4 linked regions of the Rhinolophus ferrumequinum genome follow. The protein of the gene in region 1 interacts with the protein of each later gene in a pairwise test. Links are inferred from orthologs where the notes say so. Each region holds a gene or a part of one and is shown on either strand. Other genes may lie near its edges.

The links.
Region 2: the proteins of EHHADH (region 1) and DES interact in binary tests that used the Homo sapiens proteins (3 or more experiments, as listed by UniProt). The two-hybrid records come from large-scale screens. The link is inferred for Rhinolophus ferrumequinum from reciprocal best matches to the Homo sapiens genes EHHADH and DES.
Region 3: the proteins of EHHADH (region 1) and KCTD9 interact in binary tests that used the Homo sapiens proteins (3 or more experiments, as listed by UniProt). The two-hybrid records come from large-scale screens. The link is inferred for Rhinolophus ferrumequinum from reciprocal best matches to the Homo sapiens genes EHHADH and KCTD9.
Region 4: the proteins of EHHADH (region 1) and MID1 interact in binary tests that used the Homo sapiens proteins (3 or more experiments, as listed by UniProt). The two-hybrid records come from large-scale screens. The link is inferred for Rhinolophus ferrumequinum from reciprocal best matches to the Homo sapiens genes EHHADH and MID1.

Annotation. Positions count from the first base shown.
Region 1 is NC_046285.1:60,046,366-60,053,210, forward strand, and holds the start of EHHADH (peroxisomal bifunctional enzyme), read left to right. Parts: upstream 1-3,838; 5' UTR 3,839-3,919; coding exon 3,920-3,993; intron 3,994-6,845. UniProt on the Homo sapiens protein: Peroxisomal trifunctional enzyme possessing 2-enoyl-CoA hydratase, 3-hydroxyacyl-CoA dehydrogenase, and delta 3, delta 2-enoyl-CoA isomerase activities. Catalyzes two of the four reactions of the long chain fatty acids peroxisomal beta-oxidation pathway.
Region 2 is NC_046291.1:16,097,834-16,104,802, reverse strand, and holds the start of DES (desmin), read left to right. Parts: upstream 1-3,963; 5' UTR 3,964-4,058; coding exon 4,059-4,636; intron 4,637-5,596; coding exon 5,597-5,657; intron 5,658-5,775; coding exon 5,776-5,871; intron 5,872-6,033; coding exon 6,034-6,195; intron 6,196-6,344; coding exon 6,345-6,470; intron 6,471-6,876; coding exon 6,877-6,969. UniProt on the Homo sapiens protein: Muscle-specific type III intermediate filament essential for proper muscular structure and function.
Region 3 is NC_046301.1:41,687,122-41,694,601, reverse strand, and holds the start of KCTD9 (BTB/POZ domain-containing protein KCTD9), read right to left. Parts: upstream 3,006-7,480; 5' UTR 2,910-3,005; coding exon 2,862-2,909; intron 1-2,861. UniProt on the Homo sapiens protein: Substrate-specific adapter of a BCR (BTB-CUL3-RBX1) E3 ubiquitin-protein ligase complex, which mediates the ubiquitination of target proteins, leading to their degradation by the proteasome.
Region 4 is NC_046284.1:118,835,045-118,842,720, reverse strand, and holds the start of MID1 (E3 ubiquitin-protein ligase Midline-1), read right to left. Parts: upstream 3,011-7,676; 5' UTR 2,908-3,010; intron 1-2,907. UniProt on the Homo sapiens protein: Has E3 ubiquitin ligase activity towards IGBP1, promoting its monoubiquitination, which results in deprotection of the catalytic subunit of protein phosphatase PP2A, and its subsequent degradation by polyubiquitination.

The sequences.
Region 1 (6,845 bases):
CCCAAGAGAATTTAAAACATACTTTACACAAAAACACATACATGAAATGTTCATAGCAGTATATTCACATGAGTCAAAAAGTAGAAACAGCCCAAATACCCATCAACCGATGAATGAATAAACAAAATGTGGTATGTACATACAATGAACTATATTATTCAGTAATAAAAAGGAATGAAGTACTGATACATGCTACAACATGTATGAATCTTAAAAATATTATGCTTAGTGAAAGAAACCAGACACAAAAGGCCACATATTGTGTGATTCTATTTATATGAAATATCCAGAATAGGCAAATCAGTAGAGACAGATTAGTGTCTCTGTTAGAGTAGATTAGTAGTTGCTAGGGGATAAGAAGAAAGGGGAATTGTAGGTACAGGGCTTCTGTTGGGGTGATTAAAATGTTCTGGAATTAGAGTGTGGTAATGGTACACAACTTTGTGACATTAAAAATCACTGAATTGTACACTTTAAAAGGATGATTTGTATAGTATGTGAGCTATATCAATAAAAATTAATTATCCTTTTAAAAAAGTGAAAGGAAAGAAATATCTTTATGGATAAGAAATAAAGAGTAAATATGAGTTAGGGAAACATGAATATGACCTGACTGATGACAGGTGCAGAATCCAGAGAATAGGTGCTACTTATAGGGCCACTGACAAATACGAAGAATGCCCCGAACAACCAACAGCGTGAAGAACTAGGGATACCTTATCATATGAGAAATGATAGTTCCTGAGAAAGGGCCTGAAAAGGAACAGACTTAAGACAGAATTTGTTAACATCTTTGAATATTTGCTGAAAAATAATTTTATTAATGGGAGACTTAACGTATAACAAAAGTAGACCCAGGGAGTAATTATTTCTGAGAATAAAAGTAGAATCAGGGAGTTGAAAGTCCTAAGGACTTATTTCAATCAGTGAAGATAATGACTGCATCATTTTCACCACAGTTGGGTTTTCTTTAGGAATCCTGATAGCTGGTTAATCTTCATCATTATGATACTAAATATATGTGTGTGTACACGAGTGTGTGTCTCTCCAAGGCTCAACACTTGAGCAAGCCACTTGAAATGCTAGAAATGGTCATTTACTGATATTACTGGTATAGTGAAGAAAATATTTATATCTCACCTTTTATTTCAACACTTGCGTGGGCAGCTTTTCTTAAGCATCAGCCAACTTCCCTGTTCAAGAGTGTACTCACTGCTCATTGCTTCACTGTTTTAGTCAGGACAAGTTGAAATGTTTTAACAAACAGACCTACATTTCTTTCTTTCTCCTGTAGCAGTCCATGTTGGTTCCAGTCAATGGGGTACCTCTCTCCTCAAAGTTGTTAGGGCGGTCAGGCTTCTATCTCTGGCTCTGTCTTCCCCTGGGGCCTGCGGTCCATTTGTATCCCACATTAAAAGGGGAAAGGACAGGGAAGAGCACATGTGAGATTTTATCACTCCAGGTGGAAAGCAATATTTTGCATTTGTTCTGGATAAACCTGATTGGTTTACCAGAGATTTCAGCTCTGATGGACTTATGCCACTGTGAAATGAAGTTTCACAACACAATACCCTGTCAGTTTCCAGGGCTTACAGGTCACCCATGCAGGGAAAGCCAAGTTTAGGTAGGCATCTCTGTTCTTCCTGTGAGTACACAGTAAGCACATAAATTTTAATATTTACATTCTTTTATTTTTCCTGAGATCTTTAATGAACCACTTCTGATCCACTGATCTATTTTCGTGAACTGCAACATAATGACAACAATGACAAAAGCATATTTAACAAGCAAAAGCAGTAACATGCAAATGATGTGGAAGTGCCTTAGCCAAGAGGAATGGCATCCAGTTAAGTAGCACTTACTGAGACAAATTGAATGAGAAGACAATTTAAGCATATAACAATTCATCACAATCATCAAGCAACGATCAATGGTCAAGCAGTCTGCAAGAAGCAGCATGGTGCCATCTGCTAAATTGGCTCGCCACATTCAGATTTGGCCCATAGGAGCCCAAAATAAATTTAGACACTTTATTATTTACATAGACAGCAAAAGAAAGGTCAGCGTGGTATCAGCTCCCTGTGTTCCTAGTCCCACAGGATGACACCAAACAGAAAGTGCTGGATGAAGGATGACAGGAACCAAGTTGCTCTGTTGTTGAGAAGCAGGGCAGGGTCACCACTTGCAGAAATCTGAGAGTAAGTGCCCTCTTAAATTTTAAATTTGATGGAAGTTTGCAGCTGTATCTAAGGGATGGGGGTGGAGGGACTCAAAGCAGAAAGTTCTGTGTTCAACTGAAACTAGGAGATAGATGAGAAATGATGTGTGTCTGACTCCTCCAAGGTAAAGATGAAAAATTGCCTCAAAATGGCTCCACGTCCTCCTGATGTCCCCTTGCTCCAGGAAGAGTTTCCGGCCATTCAGAGCTGTTATGCCTTGCCTACACAGCCTTTGTGGAGGCATTCAAACTTGCTAGCATGCCACGGCAGAGTTCTTCTCCTAGAGACCAATGTCTGAAATAAGAAGACAAAGTTTAATTTACTGCTTCCTATAATAAGGGAAAGCTCTGCAGGTCATGCACAGGCTCTCTGAGCAAAGCAAACTGCTGATCTTACATCGAGGTTCTGGGCAAGGTAGAGTTCAGGGACTGGCGAACCTGCAGAGGCATTAAAGATTGATATGACCTGTAAGAAGCTGGTTGTTGGCACCCAGAGGCATTGGCACTGGGCTGTTTGTGACTGGTACAAGTGAGGTCTGTCTTTGACAGATTGGATCCCTTCTGACTGCTACTTGTTTCCAGGGCTTCAAGGCAATTGGCATTTTCACAGGAGCTGGAGCCTGTTTTGAATTCCAAGAAGTGAAAGAATATCTATGAAAATAGTCCTTAATCATTGTTAAAATTTGTGGAACACCAGTGAACAAACTCATTCCGTTGTTCTTTTCCTCTGAAACTTCCAGACTGCCCTCGGACCACTTCGCAGACTGTGGAGACCACCAGAAGCCAATCACATCTAAAAGTCCAACCTGAACTTTTAGAGAAAAGGGTTTGAGCCTTGTTTATCTTTAGTCACCTGCCTAGACCTGGCCCATAATAGGTGCACAATTCATGAATGAATGCAGTATTAGAAGTCACAAGCCTAAGGAATGGCAGAAGAAGAAATATGAGGACTGGGCAGAAAAGAAACTCAGGTTTCACTAGGTTGCCATACGACTGTTCTGTAAATACTCAGTTCATGTCAGTAGGTGAACATTTAGGTGAAATGCATGATGCATGGATTTAATATTCCAGGTTTGTGTCATATCACGTAATTGTCAGGACCCCATATATCGGTCCCTGTTAAGGATCATGAAGATGAAAATTGTGATAAGGACAGCTCCACAACTTAGTGAACTCAGAATTTGCCCAGAGAAATCGGGTTTGCAAACCTCCACTTGCTGGCAATTCCACCCATTTTCCACTGTCCTCCTAGATCTGCTTTGTGATGGGAGCAGGTAGGGAGCCAATAAATAGAAAGAGGGATCAAATGTACGGTGATGGAAGGGGAGCTGACTCTGGGTGGTGAACACACAGTGTGATTTATGGATGATGTGATACAGAATTGCACAACTGAAATCTATGTAATTCTACTAACAATTGTCACCCCCAATAAATTAAAAATAAATTAAAAAAAAAAAAAAAGAAAGAGACGACGAACTTTTGCAGACGCGGAGCTGGGGTCAGGGGGAGCAGGAGGGCGGCGACGTAGTGTGCGCGTCGGTGCGGGGGGGGGGGGGGGGGGGGCGGCCGGGAGGCGGGAGGCGGCGCTGGGCTCCCATTGGCCCCGCGGGCGCCCCTCCTCGCGGGGCTGGACCGGTGCGCAAGGAAAAGTGGCATCGCCCTGCGGCGGCTGGCGGAGGCGACTTCAGCGACCCGGGAAACATGGCCGAGTATACGCGGTTACAGAACTCTCTGGCGCTGATTCGCCTCCGAAACCCGCCGGTCAACGCGATCAGGTAACGGGCTCGGTCGCCTCCAGCCTGGGGACAGCGGGGCCTTCCCCGCCTGCTTGCTCAGGAGGCTTTGACTCTCCCCTCCTGGTTTAAACGGAGAAAGACACTGACTCAAATTGAACGATGGCGTTTGCCAGGGCCTTTTACATAGGTCAGCTTGGTGAATCGTCGCAGAGAACTTTCATGCCCATTTCGCTGGGGAGGAAACCAAGGCTGAGAGGCAGACAGATGGCTACGAAGCGGGGGAGCTGGACTCGAACCGGGTCTGCGCATGCCAACTTCGTGCTGAACCCTTCTGCTTGCTTGCAACTTTGACTTATGTGGCCCACTTTGTGTTCCAAAGGTCTTAGTGCAATGCTGGCTGGACCTTGATCCCTCATTTCTCAACCTGGAGCCCAGGCAACCCTTACATGTGTGACTGAAAGCTTTAGAAATCTGACCGTGTGGCTTCACATTTTAAAAAATCAGTAAAGGTCCTCATTGCCAACGCAGTGAGGAAAAGAGAATTGAGCCCGGGCCCAGAAAATGCAGTCGTATCTCCTGATCTGTTTAAACCTCAAGGCCTTAGTGCTTCAGTAGAAGAGTAAGAGTAAGAGTAAGATTATTAAATACCATTTTCTGAAAAACTGTGCACTTTATCTTTTATTTCACCGTGGAATACCTTTCTTGTTAAACTCTCTTACCCCAGATTTGTACAATGCACTTACAGCATTACTTTTAAAACTGAGATTAATGCTGCTTTTTGAAAATTAATGAAGTTATTATATAGATTTGGTCATCCCATATCTCTGAAAAAAGTATATGATCGATCAACCTAGGAAAGAGCCACCCATCCACAGGGAGGAAAATTAGTAGAAGTTGTAATTTACGATGAATATATACAGTATAGAGAGAAAGACCTTTGGTTAAAATTCTTACTATCACATGCTGCTGGAGGAAAAAAAAAAAAGGCGAAATGAGACCTGCTAATTTTAACTAATTTTAACTGAATTTTTATCCTATCATCCGATTTGATTTTATCATTTGTATTAATATTATAATTCTCATTTTTAATACGAATTATTACATTGAATAATACAAAAGAATTGCAGAAATAAAATCACACAAGGATGATCATTTACTTGCCATTCTCAGAAAAAAGTAAAATATTCGTTATTTTGATTTTGATGAAGAAAAACATAAGTAATATAATTACATACCCATTTTGGACGTGTCTATATTCTCATTAGAATTATTAGATATTAGGACCGTCTGCCTCAACCTCTGCCCATAATGGGAAACCATGTCCATCAGGAACTTGAGGGGGGATGTTCTACACTCTAATACCCATAACTAGGGATATTTTCTTATAATTATTTTTTAAAGTTTATAGTATTTAATCCACCCTCCACTGACCTTGCAGGAGAAATGTTACTATCTGCCTCATAAAAGTTGTTGTGAAGTTTAAATGCTAGAGATTATAAACTGGCATTTAATAGCTGTTAGCTATCATTATTTCTGTTAAGCAGAGGCCTGTTACAAGCCCCTACCACGGGCTCTGCTGCTCAGGATTCATTTCAGATTTATTACAATTTCCCCCACTTGGGAATAAATACTTTCCTGCCCTTTTTTCTATCTGCTTCTGAAGTTCTGTTTTAGGTAGAGGTGTACATCCCAGCACGTTCATTCAATTTAACAGGTTCCCGATTTTTTTTTTCTTTGTACTTTTTCTCCTCCTTTCTTCCTTCCTTTTCCTTGTACTGTTTCTAATTTTATGTGGAAAATTATCTCTTCCTAGATCACTAAGAGATTCTTATCTGAAGAATTTTTGGGCCCAAACACATAATTTAAATCCTTTGCTAGTTTAGCAAGTCATGTTTCCTTCAATTCAGATGAATGCTAACCCTCTTTACAAGTGTAGGACATGCCTGATTCCTAGGCCTATCTCTCAACTCAATGGCTTTCACACTTTTTTTTATTGTCATTTCACATGGAAACCACATGTTTTACAAAGCAACCTAAACACACACACATACAAATATATAACCGAAAGCTAAGTTTCACAAAACAAAACTTATCTTTACGTGTTATATAGTTCGATATATTCTATTTTCTCCTCTTTTCTATTTCTTTGTTTTAAAAAATGCTGGTCACAAGCCACAAACTTCATTTGATGGCATTCAGTTTAAAAATAAAAACTGTCACAAAAACCATATAGTCACAGAAGCTAAAGAGTTTTGGTCAGCACTCTTTAACTGTTATCTTTATTCTAAACTCCATTCCTTCATACCTGACAATATTAAGAGGACAAAACAATTTCTTAACCTCTGTGACCTTGACATTGCTACCAGGCTGTGGTCCCTTTCACTAGACTTGAATCTAGTAAAGTTGTATCTATTACAGCCATTTTCATTTTTCTTTATGTCCTGTATTTGATTTTGACAAAATTAACAAGAACATAAGAAATAGAGTAGGGGTTGGATGAAATGGGATAAACCACCCTCTTCTCCTCAGTGGCACTGATTAAGCTCATTTTGGCTAATTTTTACCCAAAAGGAAATATGTGCCTTTTGGACTTCTCAGTATTATGGATGGTTCAGAATCTGTTTTTTGTTAACCAGTGTATTTCTAATTAACCAGTCGAAGACAAGAGGTTTTGTTTGATTTCATCTAGTTTAACTGATGAAAAGTAACAAGGTGAAAGGGGATTATCGTATACAAGGGCAAGTATCTCCCTTATTCCGTCAGGTTTTAACTCAGAGTTGCTCGTCTGACCAATCTGGCTTTTTTAGAAGTTTGCTGGTTTTTTTCATTTGTATTAATATTCTTTTTCCCACGCTATATGTTAAAGAACAGACATTGTACTCAGAATTCCC
Region 2 (6,969 bases), on another chromosome or scaffold:
CAACTAAGATTGAAAAGACAACAACTTGACTTGGAAAAAAGTCCTGGAAGTACACACTGTTCCCCAATAAAGTCCTGTTCCCCTTCCCCAATAAAATCTTTAAAAAAAAAAAAAAGACTTGTACATTGAAAACTACAAAATATCGCTGAAATAAATTAGACAGAAATAAATGGAAAGATATCCTGTGTTCATTGATGGGGAGATTTAATTTTTTTAAGCTGTCAATACTACCCAAAGTGATCTATAGATTCAATACAATCCCTGTTAAAATCCCACCCATTTTTTTTGTTTGTTTGTTTGTTTTAAGGAGGGCACAGCTCACAGTGGCCCATGAGGGGATCGAACTGGCAACGTTGGGGTTATCAGCACCACGCTCTAACCAACTGAGCTAACCAGCCACCCCCCCACACCAGTGTTTTTGAAGAAACAGAAAATTCCATCCAAAAATTCATATGAAATTTCAAGTGACCCTGAATAGCCAAAACATCTTGAAAAAGAAGAACAAAGTTGGAGAATTCATACAACTTCTTGATTTCAAAACTCATTAGAAAGCTACAGTAATCAAAACAGTGTGGTACAGACATAAGGACAGACATATATAGGCCAATGGTATTAGAATAGAGAGCCTCGAAATAAATCCTCATGCACACGGCTTAATGGTTTTCCACAGGGGTGCCAAGACATTCAACGGGGAAAGGATAGTCTTCAACAAATGGTGCTGGGAAAATTGAATATTCACATGCAAAAGAATGAAGTTGGATCCTTACCTTTACACCACATACAAAAATTAACTCAAAATGGATCAAAGACATAAAACTGTAAAACTCTTAGAAGAAAACAAAAGGGTAAAGTTCATGACATTGGATTTTGCAATGGTTTCTTGGCTATGACAACAAAAGCACAGGCAATAAAAGACAAAATAGATAAATTGGACTTCATCAAAATTAAAAACTTTTCTTCATCAAAGGATACTACCAACAGCATGAAAAGGCAACCGACCGAATGGGAATTCTTGAATTTTGTGCTGAGTACGTTACCCATCCAGGTACATTATTATTATTTTTAGTGTGTCCAGTTCTCAGTGGCCCCCTAAGAATGTTAAACCCTTACTCCAGTGGTGCTGCTGCTGAAACAGAACATGTCTTGGAGTGCTCTTCTTTCACCTGCCTTCCAAGCCTCAGAGTGTTGTTTTGCTGCCCTCCATGGTAGCAAATCCTCAGGGGTGAAACTGAATTTTGGAAACAGCCCCAAGTGGTTCAGAGCCAAGTCTGGTAGTTGTTGATTTTGACTAGAGAATAGATGGCTTTATTTATTTATTTATTTATTTATTTATTTATTTATTTATTTATTTATTTATTTTCTGCCTCATTTCACCAAGAAACTGAGGCCTTGGGCTGGTCCAAAGGACAATTTCCTTATGTGGTCTGGAGGCTGTTTACAGAGAGGAGTCCCCAAAATGTTCTGTCTTCTCCAGCATCGTGGAAATGGGTGCATAGTCTCCGACAGTAGATTATTCAAAACATTGTTTTCACTACAAGTGAACGAGCCAAAACCAAGTGCCGTAAGTGAATAAAAGGAAAGAATTTATTAGCCCCAAAGCCAGGAAGGACACTGAGGGAGCTCACAAAATTGAGGAAAAAGCACAGAACCAGGGCCCCAAGGGCTGGAATTTAGGTTGCATGCCTGGCATTCTCCTCCTCTCCAAGTGTCTCTGCCTCTCCTTGCTTGTTGACCTCTCTTTCCTCCTATTCCAGAAAGACCTCCCCAGAGGGCAAGAAACATGGTTGCCACAGCCCCCAGTTTAGTAATCCCAGTTCCATCTATAAATTCCAGGGAAGTTCTCTAATTGGCCTAGCTCAGGTCCAGGCCCACCCTTTGAGCCAATCATTGCAGTGAGAGAAATGCAGTTCTAAGACTGGCTGGGAACTAAGTCAGCTGTCTACTGCCGGTGTGTGTGTGTGTGTGTGTGTGTGTGTGTGTGTGTGTGTGTGTGTGTAACATCTGTTACCAAAATAAGGGGAGGGGAAAGAAAGCTTTCAGGCTACTTTGAACTACAACAAGGACAGTGCCACCTGGGGTGTGCTAAGAATCCACACGGTCTCCAGAATTCTTCAGGAAACTAGAATCTAGTTTGGGAGACAAGACACAAAAATAACCAGAATGCAACAGCTTGCAGTGACTCAAAGACTGGCTAAGAATATCTGGAACTCCCTACCCACCTCATAAGCTTGTCTCGGGCGAAAATTAGACACTTAATGTGAAAAGCCTTTGAAAACACATCAATAACAAAGTCTTTTACAGGTCACCTGACACCTGGTGTCAGACTGCCTTAGCTTCCTGAGCTACAAAATGGGAATGATACTAGTTCTCACCTCATAGGGTTGTTGGAGAATTAGGGATCATGGGTGTGGAGTACTCAGCAGAGTGGTATACAGTAGGTGTTCAACACATGTAAGGTAGGATTTTTGCATATTGTGACCTGAGCCTCTTTAACCACCTATAGGATAGACATGGCAAGGCTAACATTCCCACTTTATAAGGAGGACACAGAAATAAAGGACTTGTCTGCTAGTTATTAGTCCTGCTGGTGATGGCAGAGCTAGGGGAAGACCAGCACTGTGTTCCCAAGGTTCACATTCCAAAAGGTCACGCCTAAGAGAGGCCTGTAGAGTGCCAGGTGGAGGTGTAGAGAGACAGCCAGTGTTCATGGAGAAGTGGGGATGTCCTTTGGGGTCAGCCAGTACCTTGTACGAAGCAGGGTAGGCTGTGAAGGGATGTGCAAGCCCTCTGCCGGACTCCATTTATGCTGGGGGCTTGGAGCATTATGGGGGTTGGAAGTGCGTGGGGCTTATCACCCCAAGCCTTCCTCAGCCGTCTGACACCCGTGCCTCCTCAGGTACCCGGTCCCCACCCCCCAGAGCTCCTTTCCTGTGCGCATGTTTCCCGGACCCATGCATTCTCCTCTATAAATACCAGCTCTGGTATTTTGGGTTGGCAGCTGTTGCTGCCAGAGAGATGGCTGGGTTGACATGCAGCTCCTGACAAAACACAAACCCCTGGTGTGTGTGGTTGTGGGTGGTGGTGTGAGTAGGGGGATGAATCAGAGAGGGGTGGGGTGGATACAAGGGGGCAGCAGCCAGGCGAAGTTGGTGGTGCGGAGGTGAGTGTACATAGTGATTGGAAACTGAAAGTGGAACAGACCCTTTCTGGAAATCACCCTGTTGCTTATAAACTTGAGGCCCCACCTTCACCAGTAGGGGTGGGGGTGGGGGTGAGGAAAAGGGCCTATACTAGTCCAGAGGGAAACTGAGGCTCAGAGCTAGAACCCAGGTTCCAGTGTACATACCTGAGCAGGCCAGCTCTGGCCAGGATTGCTCTCTGCTCCCAGGGCACACTCCCACCCTTGGGCCTGCCTAGAGACTCCCCACCTCTAGGCCGGACTGATGGTCTCCTGGTCTTCACCTGAGCCCTCCCAAACTTCTGCCAGTTCTAGAGAATCTTTAGAAGAAAGGTGACTTGGAGACTTTCTTGGGAAGAGGCCTTGTCCCTTCAGTAAATGATCCAAAGTCTCATGTTGGATCAAAAAGGAGACCCTCAAACTAAGAGGGAGCTTCTCCGGGATTATCTCCCCTGATCAACCCCAGGAGGAGGCAGGCACCCAAGGGCTGAAAGGGGCCTGCCTGGGGCTTCCAAACATGCTCCCAGCCCTGGTGAAGCCGCAGCCCTGATAAAGGCATTGACAGGCCGGCCTGTCTTCTGCCCTCCTAGGTCCACCAGCCACTCCTACACCCCTCAAGGGCCCCCCACCCGCCGGGCTGGGGGCACAGGCCTCTTGCAGGGTAGCTGGCCTCCCCACCCCCACGCCAGCGGCCGCCCTTTCCTGGCAGGACAGCGGGATCCTGCAGCTGTCAGGGGAGGGGCGGCGGGGGCTGATGTCAGGAGGGATACAAATAGTGCGGACGGCTGGGGGCCCTGTCTCCCCTCTCCGCATCCACTCTCCGGCCGGCCGCCCGCCCGCCGCCTCCTCCGCACCGCCCAGCCTCGCCCGCGCCGCCACCATGAGCCAGGCCTACTCGTCCAGCCAGCGCGTGTCCTCCTACCGCCGCACCTTCGGCGGGGCCCCGGCCTTCCCGCTCAGCTCCCCTCTGAGCTCGCCGGTGTTCTCTCGCGCGGGCTTCGGCACCAAGGGCTCCTCGAGCTCGATGTCGTCCCGCGTGTACCAGGTGTCGCGCACGTCGGGCGGGGCAGGGGGCCTGGGGTCGCTGCGGGCCAGCCGGCTGGGGACAGCCCGCGTGCCCTCCTCCTACGGCGCGGGCGAGCTGCTGGACTTCTCGCTGGCAGACGCGGTGAACCAGGAGTTCCTGACTACGCGCACCAACGAGAAGGTGGAGCTGCAGGAGCTCAACGACCGCTTCGCCAACTACATCGAGAAGGTGCGCTTCCTGGAGCAGCAAAACGCGGTGCTCGCCGCCGAGGTGAACCGGCTCAAGGCCCGCGAGCCGACTCGGGTCGCTGAGATCTACGAGGAGGAGCTGCGCGAGCTGCGGCGCCAGGTGGAGGTGCTCACCAACCAGCGCGCCCGCGTCGACGTCGAGCGCGACAACCTGCTGGACGACCTGCAGCGGCTCAAGGCCAAGTGAGCACCCGGTGCTCCCAGAACCCCTTTTCCACGCTGGGCTCCAGGGACCCTTTCCTGCCCCTAAGAAGGTCATCTACTTGTGTCCCCCGAGGGGAGATAGGTTCTGGGTCTCTCCCTTGTGCTCCTGTTCGGCGAAGCAGTTTTTTTGGGGGACATTATGGGGTGGAAATGGGAGACCTTGGAAGACCAGGTGCCCTGTGGACAGCCCCCTGAGAAAGCATCTTAAGATGCCGGGGTGATGTTGATGGGGGTCAGGCAGGCAGATGGGTAGAGGAAAGAGGCCCAAGTGCAGTCGGAGGGGAAGGCGGAGGTTGACAGGAGACCAGGAAATCCGGGGCCAGCTGGGAAGGGCAAGGGGTGGGGAATCCAAGCAGTAGCTCTCGGCTCATCTGTGATGAGGCTTTGGGGAGGGGGTTAGAGAAGGGAATCTGCCCCTGGGCCGGGCTGAGGCTGTGCCATTTCACAAGGGAATGGGTAAGTTAGAGGAAACGGGAGAGTGGGTGGGGGACTGCAGCCCTCAGAAAACTTGGATGTGGGGCTTCACCAGGCTCCCAGTAGGAAAGGGCAGCAAGTATTCATGGGTCCTGCTTCTGAAAGCCCAAGTGAGCAGAGTCACCACCCTGCCGCCCAGGTCACAAACATCATTTGAGCACGTACACAGGCCCGGCTGGAGCTGCGAACCAGGAACACAGAAGTGGATAAAATAGACTCTGTTCCTAATCCCAGGGAGGTCACAGTCTGGTGGGGACATAGACTTCCAGGGTGTGGCTCTAGTGCAGAGATTGGGCCACTTCCTGTCCACTCTCTGGGTGGGCGGGGCCTCTTGTCTCCACCCAGCAGCCAGCTTTCCTTTCTGTCCTGAGCCCACTCCCTGGGCAGCCCAAGGCTAGCCATCTCCAGGGCCAGTTTTAGTATCCCCACCAACTGTCTGTTTCTCCATCTGTCTGTTCCTACCAGGCTGCAAGAGGAGATTCAGCTAAAAGAAGAAGCAGAGAACAACTTGGCTGCCTTCCGAGCGGTAAGCCTCTTTCGACCCCCAGCAGCCTTACCCCTCTTTCCCCCTGTGTGGCCCCTGGTCTCCCTCTGCCCTTCCGGGGTGATAGGTGACCCTGTCCCTCTTGTTGGACCTCTCCCAGGATGTGGATGCTGCCACTCTAGCGCGCATTGACCTGGAGCGCAGGATCGAATCTCTCAACGAGGAAATTGCGTTCCTTAAGAAAGTGCATGAAGAGGTATGCCCTGGGCCCTCCTCCCCAGGGTCCTTCGACACTGGTGAAAGTAGGTGGTGTGGGGGTGGGGGACAGTGGTAGTGCCTGGCTCTGGGAATGGAGGTGTGAGGGTGCTGGGGTGGGGAGGTGCCTGGTAGGGGACTGAAGCCCAGCTGCACCATGCAGGAGATCCGAGAGCTGCAGGCCCAGCTTCAGGAACAGCAGGTCCAGGTGGAGATGGACATGTCCAAGCCAGACCTCACCGCTGCGCTCAGGGACATCCGGGCCCAGTACGAGACCATCGCGGCTAAGAACATCTCAGAAGCTGAGGAATGGTACAAGTCAAAGGTAGGCGGCCTGGCCCCTCCCTCCCCCTCAATCCCAGGTTTGGAGTTGCTTTCTGTGGCTCCACCCACGGGGAGGAGGGTGAGCTAGGGTCTCCATGCTCCCTTGCCCACCTCTGCCTGCATCATCTCAGGGCCCCTCTCTGCCTTTAGGTGTCTGACCTGACCCAGGCAGCCAACAAGAACAATGACGCACTGCGCCAGGCCAAGCAGGAGATGATGGAGTACCGACACCAGATCCAGTCCTACACCTGCGAGATCGACGCCCTCAAGGGCACTGTGAGTCCCTGCCCACCTCACCCAGCTCAGCCTTTCCTGCCCGTAGCTCACACCCTCAGTCAGTGACGACGGGCCCATCACATACCCTCTCTGGGCCTCTGTCTCCTCATATCTGCCACCAGGGTAAAAACAGGTGGATTACCAGTTGGGCTTTCAGGAAATCATGGGGCTCCTATGTGGGTGCAGGGAAGGCTGAACATTTATCAGTTCTATTCTCTGAGTTTCCACAGAACACTTCATTTGAGTTCAGGGTTCCCTGGCTGAGATGGGTTTGACAATTCCTGGACCTGACTCTCTGGGGTTGCCTCCCAGCATGTTTGTGTCGCTGTCCATCTTGGGACCCTAGTGTTTCCCACCCACCCACCCCCAACAACCTGACCTTGACCTAGTCGCCCCTCCCCTGCAGAATGATTCCCTGATGAGGCAGATGCGGGAGCTGGAGGACCGCTTTGCTAGTGAGGCCAACGGTTACCAGGACAACATTGCTCGCCTAGAGGAG
Region 3 (7,480 bases), on another chromosome or scaffold:
TGTCATTTTCTTCTGGAACATCGTCGTAATGTACTAAATGCATCACTAAATGTGTCCGTCTGGCTGACGGTGACTGGGGCTTATTTTAGGGGTAGGTCTTATTTTCAGGGAAACACAGTAGCATTTATTAAACAGGACTTCAAACGGTCTTTAAAATATGGTACTTTTTGACTTCTCAGATTCAAAGAGATCCAACAATTTTTCAAAAATCTCATAGTTTATATTGGGGAAGTGACAGCTCAGGCATTTTTCTCATTGCTTACTTGTGTTTGCTTAATTAATATTGTCTTCAATCCGCAGATTCTTTGAAGGAATCTTTTAAAGCCACTTGACATTTTGGTAAGGGTTAATTTAGTTAAAACTGGATAATACTAATCTTAATCTGGTACTTATAAGCTTCAACACCTCACAACAAGCCAAAGTGAACCACCCAGCGAAGAATTAGCCCATTCTCTGAGAAGACTTGGGACCAGCTGATACTTTCAGTGATTGAAAGCACCTCTGTCTTTCCAGGTTGGAAAACAATCAAGTTTCAATATTTTATAATTTTAAGTGAAAAGATACACGAATATATCAAAAGTGTAATATTTCTTCTGAAACTCCCCTGGATCCCCTTGTCTAGCCTTTGTGGTGTACCATCTCACTGTTTTAAAGAATGCACAGCCCTCTCTTCTACCTCAAAACATTCACTAGTTACACTTGATTGTTTATTCATTAGTTACACAGAAAAGTCACAGTGAGCAGATTTCACCTGCAGTGACTGCCTCCCCCACCCAAGGCTTCATAGCCCAGTATGGCAACCACTGGATAAGCTTTACAGGAGGGAAATTTGAAAAACCAGACATTATTCTTATGACCAGGAAACAAAAATTGAAGCTAGGTAAATAAAGAGATAATGGGAGTGACACAGCTATTCCAACTGGTGGATGGGAAATCCAACTCTATTTCACAGTTGTGCTTTGTTCCATCATGTTTTTCATGAACATCAATGTCATGATCATGCCATCCTGGCTAACTATAATATAAATAAACTTTATTTATATTAACATGTAGGCTGTTATTATTCTGCTCTTTTTCTCAAATAATATATATATATATATTCGATGTTCCAGAATTATACATATATGTATAAATACATATATATATATATATATATATATATATATATATATATTTAATCAGCTGAAGGGAGAGGAAACACTGACAACTTTGGCATAGAATATGTTTTCCAGTTGAGTAGTAAGGATTATGGCATGACTTATTTTTAATATTGAATCATACTAGTATTCTCCAGTTTGGGGCTTTATGGATTTTTGTAACATAAACATATTTATCTTTATTTGAGATGTGTCTTCCAATCTTCTGAGATTCTCTAAAAATCTAACCTCATCAAAACTAGACAGCTTTAAAATTTTTATTAAAGATAGAGACAATCTTTGGCAATAACAAAATTCAGTGGTTTCAGAAGAGATTCATAGCACAGTTAAATATTTATGACTGGGTCTAAACATTTTGTCTTTCATGGAATAACATAGCAGAGATGTTGGGAAAAAGGTCAATCAGAGGTCTGGTTTTGAGAACATATTACAATTATAACTTTGGATATACTAAATCTTTCAATAACAATGTAAGTTTTAGGTTGTGAGTGGTAGTTAACAGACAAAACAGGTAGAGAAAGAAAAAGTTAATATGATCAGAAGTAATGTAAATCTTGCTAAGCATATTTTTAGGCAGCATTTATAAAAAACCCCAAAACTTGAATTTATGCCAGTTCTGTTTTATATGGGTATTAAATATCTAAAACCAGAAGAACACAAAATTATAGTCAACAAACTACACTGTGGTTCAGATTTTTAGAACATGTTTACTCAAAATTGCAGAATAGTTGGGAAACCACGTTTTATACCGTGGCACATTTACACTATTTAGAAATTTACAATATTTTCAAAATATGCAGAAGACAAAGCATGCTAGCAAATAATACAGTGAGGCCAATTTACCTTTACTTTAGACTCTAATGCTTAGTTACTTGTAGACGTCATTTAGACGCACCATAAATGTCTGCCTTGAACAGTCAAATTTTCCAAAGAAGCCCAACAACTTTCATGGGTGGGGCAAGAAGCTGAGAAGCAGCAGGATTCATTTTGGCTTGTTCTGGCGTTGGAAAAATGTTTAATACCACACCCTGAACAAAGGCCTAACACAGCAAGGAGTAATGTCAAATCAATCCATTTTGGCCTATTGTCAGAGTCCTCTAAGGAGCTAAAATAAGGCGAAATAACAGAGTACAGAAGTTTGGTGGCGGCGGGGGACCTCATGTCCCTAATTTTCAATCCTCTATGCGACCCAGAAGAATATTTCATTTATCCACTGATAAAGAGTTTAATTTTTACGCGGTCAACCTTACATGCCTCAGTTGTATCCACCACTTTTCTGGAGCAGAGCATTAGTCAGCACGAAGGTGGAAATAAGCGGCCTCAGTAGTCAGGGGAGGGGGGCAGCGGGGTCTTCCGGGAGGAGGTGGGAAGAGCGCTCAGTATCAAGCGATCAGGTGACAGCGACCCTCCGTAACCTGCGTTCTTCCCGCCCCATACCTGGACTTGTAAAGATCAAGCACAAGCTGACCTGCGCTAGTTCCTGGGGCGACTGGGGAGTAAAAGAGGCTCCAGCTAGAAATCCCGGGGTTGGGAGGAAGCCGCGGGGACCCGATGTTCACCTTCTAAACGCACCCCACACCGGCGCACGTCCACCTCCCAACCCCTCTCCCCAACTTCAGCCCTCTGCCCTAAGAGCCCGCTCCGCACTCCGTTGCCCACGCCCCCAGCAGCGAGGCCCTCTTCGCCTCCTCCGGACCCCCTTACCTTTCCATTCTTGGGGCTGCCATTAAGGAACAGGGTCACCCGCCTCATCGCGCTGCCCCCACTGGGTCCTGAGTGAGTCGCCACCCTCCCACCTGGCTTTCCTCCCACCTTTCTCTTCTCCCGCCCTTCCCCTCCCTCCTCCCACTCGAAATCTCCTCCCTTCGCCACCTTCCTTCTCTTACAGACACACACACGCACGCACTTTCCGTCCCACACCCCAGGGTTGGCCGGTCCTCCTGTCCACCCCGCCCCTGGGCTCCTCAGTCATCCTGGAGCCCTTCCCCCACCTCTCCCAGAGTGACTCTAAGCTCCACCAATCAACCGGCAGCATCGGCCAGCACTCAACCAATCAGCACCCTGCATTGGGTGGGCTCATACTAACCCACCCAGGTGGAGGGAGGGAAGAGAGGCTGCAGTCTGGCAGACGAGAAGGGTCATCAGCCAATCAGAGCAGAACCTGGAGCCCAACGGCGGGCTTAAAGCGTTACTGAGCAGGCGCAAACCCAAAACCAGGTAGAGCTCCTCTGCAGGCGGAGGCAGGGTTTGAGGGAAAGAGGTGGAGCGCGAGAAGTGACCCACACCAGTCGGCAACTCCCGGCTGCAACCCATCCAATCGCTCAACCCACAGAGGGAACGGCTGCCGTAGGGATGGCTGATTGGGTTAGAGCCATCCCGTCGTTCTGTCAGGATTGGTCAAATTATTCTTTTCGAAGTTTGCAGCATCCAATCGAAAGACGGGAGGCGGCTTCAAAGTGCCAACCGAAGGGTTCCTACGCGGAACTCTCACAGAAAATAGTCCCTGTGGACACAGGTTCGCAGCTGATCCCTTTGGTCAGTGCGCACCCACAACTAGCAATGGTTTCTCCCAGAGTCCACGAAGCTCCTGTTCCTGGGACGGCGAGGTAGAGGCCTGGGAGGGTTCTGGGTGCTCTCAGACACGTGCGGGTGGCGGCGGCGTACACATTCGTGGAGTAACGTCGAGACGCTGAGGAGGCGGGGCCGGCTATTTGAATCCCGCGGCGGGTGGCAGGAGTGCTGAGCTGAAGTGTAGGTACCGCGTACTGCGTGTTCCGGGTGTCGGTGAACGGTAAGAGGCAGCCCCCGGTGGCTGGCTTGCCGGCCAGCAGTTACTTTCTCGAGCTAACCCTTCAGGACCAAAGAGCCGTGCTCTAGAAGGCAGAGCAACCGCAATAGTCGAGTGCGGCGGAGCGTTCAGAATAAACCCAAGCGGGAGGAGAGCCAAACTGCGGGACTGAGAGGTGAGGCAAGTGCCCTGGTTTGACTTCATCGGCGTGTTTCTCAGAAGTGTGTTCTGTTTATCCGGCCCCACGGAAATAAGTGGTTTTCCTGCGACCTGAGCTGGACCACCCGTGTGCTTTCTAAAATGCAGGCCCCTGGGGCCCAGCCACACCTCCTGAATTAGAATATCTGGGAATACCCAGCTGCGTCTTTAGCTGGGTACCCCGATGCTTCAAGTGTTCACGAAGGTTGAAAAGCCATGGTTTATAGTATGGGGTCTGCATTGTTTCATCCCGAACAGCAGTTTATCTCTAATTTGAGCTCCAAAAAGTACTCTCGACATCTATTTTCATGCCAGTAGAGATTGTATTAGAATTGAGTCTTGAATGGGGATCTTGATGGAACCACGTTAAGCTTGGGGGTGGGTTATTTTTCTTTTTTCTCTCCTCTGTGTTTTTCAGATGGATACCGATTCAAAAGTCAGCGAGCTCCCCGAAACCACGGAGTCTGCTATTAATAATATTGGTATGTAGTGATCTGTTGCCTCCTTTTGAAATTTAAAGTTTAGGTATTGGTCTTGATAATGATGCTTAGCCCCCTACAACATGTCTGTTTCAGAAAACACCAATTTCATTTTGGGAAACAAAAAGCTTGTCACTCCTCAGAAGCATGCAGCTGAGGCGACTCCTAATGATTGCACACTAGATACTTTTAAATCACCTTTGGACTTTTCCACAGTAACTGTAGAGCAGTTGGGAATTACACCTGAAAGCTTTGTAAAGAACTCTTCAGGTAAGAGACGTTGTCTTTCTATTGCAATGCTTAAAAATTACTTTAGCTCAATTTTGTTCATTTACCCTCTCTGTCTGTCTTGTTACCTTATGTATTTAAATTAATTGACTGCAAACTTGCTTGATCGGGGAGACTTATGTGAACATGCACAATTCATCCAGCATAGCAGGAGACCATGCAGGTGTCCCAGGGCACCTAGCACAATGTTCCTGAGTCCAACTTGTGCTTTGTGTCCAGACTGGAAGAGAACCTGTGTGTAAATCACTTTTGGATCTGGACACATAGGATACAGGAATGTACTATAAATAGTAAGACACGTTTGTGGTCACATATGGCAAAAATAAGAGAAAGTTGAGCAGTGGAGAAAGTATTACATGAAGTTGGGGTATGCCTCTTCAAAATCACAAACAGAAAATTGGCTCCTGCTAATCTTCAAGGGGTAGAAATGAAATTCACCTGCGAAGACTAACTTGGAGAAGAAAGAAATATGGGAGTGGAATTAGATTCGAGAATGGCATTTAGAAATGGAGGGTAATGGGGGACTTAAAAGTCAAAGGGCACTAGACTAAGTAATACATGATTGAGAAAAGACTGAAAAGTGGCACACCATTCTGTGTTTTCCTCTCAAGAACATCACGCTCAGACCTTTAAAAAGCTAGATTTATTTTGTGTGCTTGGGTATATGTTCAGAATTCCGGGTAGTGTGCCAAAGGTGGTACTTAGATCGGTATCTAAGAAAAACAACTTACCTTGAAGAATTGAGCATGAAAGTACATGTGCCTAGGTGGAGATCTTTCCTTTCAGTCCCTGGAAATAAGACTGCCTGATTCAGAAAAAGGGAAGTTCTCAGTCCAAAGCAAGACATTACCCACCTCTTTGTGCAGAAAATAATGCAAGAGAAATGAGAGCTACTTATAAATGTGTTCATGGGTTCACTCCACTCAACTATGTTTAATAAATAACTTCTAAGTACTAGGTATTCCAGGAACATAGAATAAATCAGTAGACAAAATAAAGATTCTGTGCAACTGATCGTGTATGAACAGTTTTGCCCACTATAATTCTTCAGTTAGATTTATGTACCATGTGTTTATCATGTTTTCTCTCCGGCTGGTACACCACACATCTTCAGGACATGATTACTGATGATTGCCTTGTTTTATTCCAATTTAAAAGAGAGTTTTCATTACAGGAAAGTCATCATCCCACCTTAAAAAATCCAGACGACGCTCTACAGTTGGTGTTCGGGGCTCTCCTGAAACAAACCATCTTATTCGTTTCATTGCTCAGCAGCGGAATTTAAAGAATGCAGAGAAGTCTCCTTTGACACAGAATTCCCCTTTTCTGGTATGATTTTCTTCTAAATTCTGTCATGAATTCTTCTAGGAAGAATATTTTGCTGTGTTACAGAGCTTTTGTAAAGAGTTTCTACCTTACAGTGCAGCTCATGTGTTTTGGATCTGCAGAGATGGTATTTTGTCTGTGCTTTACAGAGTTTGCCTCTAAATGGGGATAAACATGAAACATACACCAAAAAAAAAATGCGTACACATTATAAGAAAGGAAAATTATTAAAATTGTAATACTCAATATATACCGATAACAAAAGATGAATACAAGTCACGTTTGATTTCTGCAATTATAAGAGGTGCTCAAAGTGGTTACCATCAGTGTCCAGACATTTCTGATTACAGCGAACTACTGCTTGAGCGTTGATCAAAGTGTCCACTTGTAGACATTTTTTGGCATCCCCGGTATTAAGAGTTGTGAGATCCTGGAGAGAAATGGCTTTCTAGGGGAGCGTTCTATTTTATTTTGAAAATTTTTCTAGTTAACATCTGTTTTTCTATAATGAGATGAGGCAGTGTTTTCCAACCTTTTTCTTTTAATATCTTTAAGAGTCTAATTTTCTGTGACTATAGTGTGTTGGCATATAGGGGCAAGAGTTTCCCCAGGACAAAATGTATTTGGGTTAGCCTTGTCGAAGGGAACAAATTATTTGTCTGACAATGGGGAAGTACTTAGACATTTTTTGCAGATTTTTATTAGAATAATACATGCTCCTAAAGAGTCAAATAGTAGTACAAGGCTTGCTATGAAGGACAGAGTCCCCAGCTTATCCTTCTTGAAGTACATCTGCTTTTGACTTGTGGTGTTGGCCTTACTATTTGAAAATGTACTTATGTTGCCACTTCCTCATTTTTCAGTTTTAGTCACTATGTATGCATGAGGCTGTGTAGTGCAGTGCAGTGGTACTCAGAAGTTATCTGCACATCACTGGGGATCCCTGAGTTCCACTGAAGAGGTCCATGAGGTCAAAACTATTTTTTGTAATAGCTCTAAGGTGTCATTTGCCTTTTTTTCACTGTGTTGATATTTGTGCTCATGGTGCGTAAGTAATGGTGGGTAAAGCTGATGTCACCAAGCTGTCATTTTATTCATCATTGCTAAGCATTCACAGGAAATAATAATGCCAGTTTCCCTTAACATTCTTGATGAAGCAATAAAAATTATAGATTGTATTAATTTTCAACCCAAGTAATTATGTGTGATGAAATGGGAAGTATGCATCAAACACTTCTAAAGTA
Region 4 (7,676 bases), on another chromosome or scaffold:
TCTTTTATGTCATTGCCTCTGGACGAGGCCACACTGGTGGTGGGAGAATCCCAGACAAACACACCCTGATAGCAGTTTGAGAAAGGGAAGTATAAACGATAACTAAATATTAGAAAGGATCTTATAAAAAAACACTTCACTATTAGCTTTTCAGATCTTTAAGAACAGGACAACACACACCCCTCTTTAAATAAAAAGGGCAAACTGGATGACATATAGAGGGCCTTGACATCCCACCATAGCATGAAAGACAATAAATATTAGTATATTTTTCTTCACAGTGACCCCCAGCGTAGCAGAATTTTGACTTGCACGATCTACACTCTGGGCCTGGATGGTCACAGTGTGCTAGCTTTCACGCATCCTGACAGATAGAGAAGTTGATCCTATCTATACGATATAGTGGGGCAAACTGAGGAAGCTGTGTGGTCCAGAGATCACCTTCTGGGGGATACCGCCAGCCCAAGCAGAGTCTGATGGCCCAGATGCCAAGAGGACTCAACCTCTGGGTATGTCTGTAACCCACTCATCATCGACCAGTGCTCTGTGGCCCACCCATTGGGAGGCTTTGTCTTCAAGAATTTTCCTCAGGATGACTGGCTGTCAGGTGAGTTTGCAGCAAACCATTCTTCACATGCTACACTTTGGTGGGGAATCACAACACATATTAGCAGATGAACATATTAAGGCTCCGAGAAGACTGGTGTTTCTTTGTTGTTCTCCCCTTCTCCCCCGCCCTCCCCCCCTACTTTCCAATCTCCTTTAACCAGGACACTCTTTCACCATCTCACAGGTCTAAGCAGCTGCGGAATGGTTAACCCTCCACCGGAGCACACAGCACCAGTGACTCAAAAGGCTTAATGCAACACCACCATGTCCTAAGTATCTTTCATTGCAGATTAGCTCGGACCCTGAAATAACTTTAATCATCAAGAAGAAATCCTCCTGGAATGCTATGAACGCCAAAGTGTTAAATACAATAATCACCATTATTGCCCCCAAATGAGCCGATGAGGAACCGAGGATAAGTGGATTCTGGAGCTGGGACTCCCAGTCATGTACAATAATTCATATGCCCCTGGCAAGGAGAACTCTAAACATGAGATTCAAAAACCCTATGCTTAGCCTCGGCCTTCCCCACCCCAGGAGACTTATCTATCTTTCTGGTTATATAGTCCCTTGGCTGTTGATGTAATTAGTATATAATAACTGTGTACATATCAACTCACAGGAAAAACGGCGGACGTGCTGGTTGATTTGGCTTGAGGCCATCTCATCGGCAGGGTGAGACAACCCGGTAGAAACATCTGTTATTAACCGTATATTTTAAAATAGTGTTTTGTGTCTCCTGGGTTACTGATTCCCACTGAAAGCAACACAATATCAAGACTCCTGTTTTTCTGAGCAGCACCTAGGAGCTAACAAGCTTTAAAACATTTGCAATAGTCTCTGCAGTTCTGCTGCTTGTGCTATGAAGAATTTTATTTCCTAAAACGTCTACTGTATCACACACACTGCTTTTCTAGGTTTCAATCTCATAGAGGTGAGCAGGTTTCATTTAAACTGTGTCACTATGAAGAGTTAAGGTTTTTCAAGTCAAGGGCCCCGAATAAAACTGGCCGTAGCTTTTGTTTTTATGAAGAAGCACTTGCCGTTCCCTCTATTCAATCAGTAGCCTCACTAGGGATTGGACTATGACTTGCAATTTTTTTTTAAAAAAGGGGCCATTCTCTCAAATCTGCTTGTTTGCGCTGAGTACTTTTCTTGAAATTAACTTAAGAAATTAATTTCTTAATAGGAGAAATTCAAAATCGGGTGCTCGTGCCACTGGCTGCAGTCAGTAGCACAATGCTGCTTCCTAAACTTCTAGGACGAAGTCCCTGTGTTGGGCAGAAAATGACAATCTTTCTTTGACACATGAGCAGTCAAATTTTCAAAACATTTATCCAAGCTAACTCAATGAAGAAACCACTTTGGCATGAAAAAATAAAAATGAAAAAAAAATAAAAATGTACCTGATTCCAAATCACTTTTGACAGCTCTGCTATATATATAGAAAGAAATCGACTTTCTTCAAAAGTTTTACCTGTGCCCCAAAACTCAGTTGGGATAGTTTTGCCTTCTTTCTCAATTGTCCCAACTAGAACGAAAATGCCCCTGCAGGTCTGTGAAACCCTTGCACATGTCCATGTTTAATTACATTCAGATTGAGATCTTTGTATACATATAGGATATAGCCAAACTTTAACTCAATCGACCGCAGCGCCTTTGACATACAGCCTTTATTCATCGTTCTCGCCTTATGTATAAATAGACATGCGCGACTTGTCAAAATGCAAGCCCGAGCGTCTTTACATTGTCTAGAACAAAGAGCCCAGCTTGGCTTCTTTCTTTCCTCAGTGTCTCAGAAGTTGTCCTTTATTCCATGTGCAGGATGCAAAGATTTTGCTGCTGCATGAATGAAAAATGATACCTTCAGACTGCCTTTTTCGTGACAAATTGCACTTCTGCAGAATATCACACTGCCTGTGGTTGTAAGAACCCCACTTAGATTTACTATTACTTCCTCGGGGACTCAGCCTTCTCGCAAAGCACCCCAAGGCTCATTTCCAGGGTTTTAGAGTGCAACAAACATGAGAAAGTTTGCTCATCGTGATGGTCTAGAAACTCTTCGCTAGTAAAAACAGCCTCTGGAATGTGTAAAGTGCTAAAATCCTTGCCTCTGTGGACTTTGGGTGTACAAAACAGGCAGGAAAGTTGTCTGGAAGTATCTGCGAAGCATTGTGTTTGCTCAGGAAGGAGCTGTGGGGTGAGAGGCTGAGCTAAGCCTCTCCCTCTGCCTCCTGGGTGTGAGCAGTGAGGCTGCCACTTAGCAGAAGCAAGCAGAAAGAGATCGGTAAGACTCACCGGCTTCCCCATTTTTCCCAGGACGGGGTTTTGTTCCTCAGCTGTGATCTGGATCTGGAAGAGGCAAACCTGTAGGTCCTCCAAGCAGGCTGCCTGGGATCAGCTGGATGGCTGGAGCGTTCAGGAAGCTTGCTCTGTCCAGCTCCGAATCACTCCCCCTCTCAGGCTGTGTGCTTACACGCCTCCCAGTCAGCGCAAAAATCCGCCAAACTCAGGTCAGCCGAACAGGTTTCCTTATATAGGTAAACATGAATTGCATTCCTGGTGAAAGAACTTAACTAGGAATCCTGTAACCTGGTTAACTCTACACAAGCCAGACTGGCTCAGAGTCAGTCAGCCAGTGTAGGGTTTGGTTGCAGTACAAAGGGATTTGTGCGATTTAATTAAAATCATCTTTATCCTGGCAGTCTGTAAAATTGGCCCTTCTAGTGTAACTGTGAGTCAACAGCTAGTATTTTATATCATGAGCTGTGACCAACCTTACATTATCTGGAGGCATTGTAGGGAGAAAAACCAAAGTATAGGATATTATCATTTGTCTTTTATGTTTTTAAAACCAGGGTAACTTATCTTGAAATTATTTTCAAAGAAGTGAATAGAACATGTGACAGGAAGAGAATGTGAACAAACCTCTATCAATAAGGCTCAAATGCTTTATTTGAGCATAGTAAGTAATAGTTATTCAACTTTCCCAGGCCTTTAGTAGATAATGCAATGTGATCATTTTGAGTCTACTCCCTTTATAATGTAGTAATTGCTACTGCATTCTTTGATGGGCAAAATGACACATAATGGCATCTATTTATTCCCTGTAATAACCCTCCTGAGCCCATATAGTGAAGTGTTATTTGATGGTTTCAGGAAAGAAATCTAAGACTGCTGAATTTGCATAATTATATGTAAAAATTTTAAAACAACTTCCTGGACTTACGAAGATAAGAAAACACATTTTAAAAAGAATTCTGGGGAAGGCCTAACTCTAGGTTCAAAACACAGCTTTTAAATGTAAGTATGTAACTTAAATCAATTGTCCAGTAATTGGCTCTTTTCCCTACATTTATCTACCGCTGAGTAAAGTAATAGTTCTTTTTAATTCTAACCAATTCCACGAAAGTCTTACTATAAAGTAGAGACTCAAGACTTTCTAATACCTGAGCGGTGGGGGTGAAGACTGCCTGCTGAACAAAACCCGTCTTAAAGTGAATCCTTTGTCCCCATTTCATCCACTGGTCGACTGCTCCTTGAGTAGTGACAATCTTAGTAAAAATAGCTCAGTGCCATGGTTTAGGTCTCTGCTCGGGAAAGGAGAGACAATGAATGTTTACATACTGCCTAAGCCAGCACGGATACAAACAAATCATAGAGAGTTTCTGTTAAGAGCAGTAAAGTGCACAAATCACACTGTCAGGAAGGGTAATTAATCTTTGAATAGCACTTTACAAATGGGCAAGGATTTTCGCATACAATTTCTCTTTATATCGCCACAGGAGCACGATGCAGTGTGTGTTATTGTTTCCTTTCCATGATAACAAAATTGACTTGCAGAGATAAAGTGATTGGTCCAAAGTCTCATGATCAATTTGTAGAAAAGCCAAGATTAGCAGATCTTCTAGAATTTAACTGCAGTGGAATTTCCAAAACTAGAGTCACCCTGACGAGGCAGCAGTCCATTAACATGGCAGTTTTCCATGTTCAAATATAATTTTTAATAATCATGTATCCAGAGAGTTTAAATGCAATATACAAACTGATTAAAACACTCTTTATAAAGTCATAATTTACTGCTAAAATGACTGCCTTTAAGTAACTCCAGAAAGGTCATAAAATGAGATAGGAAGTATATTTTTATTGAATATGAATTTGGGTTATAAAATATTATGAAAATATAACTTTGCAAATATTGCACACATCTTTCTGTTCACAGTACACACATTTCTATTGTATCAAGTTAAGACTCATCTTGACTCCCCCACTGGAAGGAATATCAGTGTTTTCTACTTATTGGGTTTTCATTAATCTTAAATAAAACTGTGTGCCATGCCAGGTAAATGGCTTTCACTAATATAGTCTATTTATGATCCTGCACCCTTTATGTTCTCATAATTCCCACTGAAGCAAGTTCTGTTTATGCAGGAACTTTAGACTTTATTAACATGTTGATGCAAGACGAAGAATGCATTTTTTTTCCAAGGCAGGCTAAACCTTTAAGTGCCTTAAGCTGGCCTTCAAATTTTTTCTTACAATTTTAAGCAAACAATCATTTAGGTTTTAAACACAAAATATCTTGGGCAATAATTATTGAATTGAAAGGTCAAAATGAAAATTGGATCTCAAAGTAGCATATTTCAAAGAGGGACTACAACCCTCTGCTAAATCCATTTTGGATGCCTCAAGAAATGGTTTGGGAAAGGCTGGGTCACTGAAGCAGTATGAATTCAAACTAACCATAGAGAACCCCAATGAGAGAGTACTTACAGCTGAATAATTACACTATGCCAAAAAATAGGACTTATGGGAAACTAAATAAAATACAAGACCTATTTGAAGGGGAGAAAAATCTCATTGTGGTTTAAAGAAAACATCAGAGGGCAGATTTTAGAAATTCCCAATGACATATAACTAATGAGTAGTTGAGCTATAATTCAAATCTCGGTCCACCAGACTCCAGAATCCTTGCTATTTCTACTGCATCCTGGGTATACTACACTATCCAAGAAAGAGAAAATGCCTTAGGGTCAGAATGTGCTTCCATTTTGGTTCCATCTCATGGTTACGTGACCTTGGGTAAGTTACTTAACATTTCTGAGCCTCACCCCCAAGGTGAAAATCAAATGGCTATACATCTCACAGATTACTGAAAGATTCTGAGATTTTAAAAAAATATCATTCTGTGTATACTTATTGATGCTTTTAATGATGCAGGCACACAACCAGGAGCAAGTTATGCATGTCCTTCCCCCACCCCATAAAGCTAACGACCTTACAGGAAAGACTGTGCACATATTTATGATGGAATGTGAAAATGTAATGTTTCCCCAAATTTCTCACAACACAAGAATGTTTAATTGAAGTTCCACATCAATGTAGAAATATTAATTGACAGATTTCCAAGCTGATACTCTCACTGTAGTTAGCACAGGTTACTCTACTGGCCAGAGGCCGGCTTACCATCATTAGACTTGGTGGACCTGGGCTGAGCCAGATAAATACCAGGAAATGGTAAACAGCGATACATCTGTCATATCATGACAATATCCTTTTATCGAACAATTGAGGAGGACCAGCATGTTCAATGGAAGAGCATCCTGAAGATACTCAGGAAGGTGGATGTTCATGGAGTTATTTTTATTATTAATTCTTTATATGCAAAAGTGATGAAAAACATAAGAATCCTTAAATATTGTAGTCAGTTATCTATCTACTAATCTATTACCAATTCACTTCTATGCAATAAACATTTAATTGGTGGCTATTATGGATAAAGGTCTATGAAGGATACATACAGAAAAAGATACACAGAAAAGAATGGTCCCTAGCTTGAAAAGAGCTTTCTAGAAAAATGTTATGGTGCTCAATAGCTGTATCAGACAGGATGGGTGAAGTAATGCTCTGGTAACAAGCAACCCCCAGATCTCAGTAGCTTATAACAACAAAGGTGTGTTTCTCACTCATGCTACATGTTTACAGAGATCAACGGGGAGGAGTCTCCTATTCATAGCCGCTCAGGAACCCAGGCTGATGAAGGTTCCTTTCGGCGCATACTTCCACCGTCGTCGCTGAGACAGGAAACAGGGACTTGGTGAATCATTACTGCCTTTCAAAACTTCACTCCATAAGAGACACTTAAACTTCCGCTCACCTTTCATTGGCCATAGTGTTCTCTGGCCCCAGCTTAACTTCAAAGAAAGAGAGACTACTAGAATACATGACAAATGAAGACATGACAGATATGGCAAACCATTTGGCAGATTCAGTACCACTTCTGGCATAAGGACTGGCAGTTTAAGTTTGAAAATTACTGACTAGATGCAATTTCTATAAGAGTGGGAGCTTAAAGGTGGACTGAAACATTATTAGTGGTTCCGGCTGAACCTTGAGGGAAACAGTGACATTTTAGAAGGATGTCCTGAGGCAGGCTCTTCATAATATTTCCATCAGTTACTTGAGTGATGATATAAAAGACAAGTTGATTTAATTTGCAGATGGTGCCAAATTGGATAGCTAACACCACAGAGGATTGTATTATAATTCAAAATGACCTTGAAAAGTAGGGGAAAAAATGACGTTAAGAAGGAAGCTTGTGTTCAATAGTGATAAATAGAGAATTGGAATGAAAGGGCTACAAAATACGCTATAGAAAAACTATATTGAGCTAATATTAGTCTGTAAGTTAAATAAATACTGGCAGTTTAGCACTTTTACTTGTAAAGCCTTTGGTATGGTGGTATTAACCATGTAAGCCCTGGAAAATAGACATTCTTAGGGTACTGCTTCATTGGGGATCCACATTAAAAGAAATAAGATATCAGAGCAAATTCAGAAACAAAAGCAGACATTTCCAAAGGACTAAGTACCCTAGGTCAGAAGTCAGCAAACTTTTTCTGCAAAGGGTCAGTAGTAAATATTTTTGACTTTGCCAGCCATAAGCCTCTTCGTTGCAACTACTCTACTCTGCCTGCCGGGGTGATCTAAAACAGTCACAGATAATATGTAAATGAATGGGCATTCATTTACAAAACCAGGAAGCCAACCTTGGGCTATACTTTGCA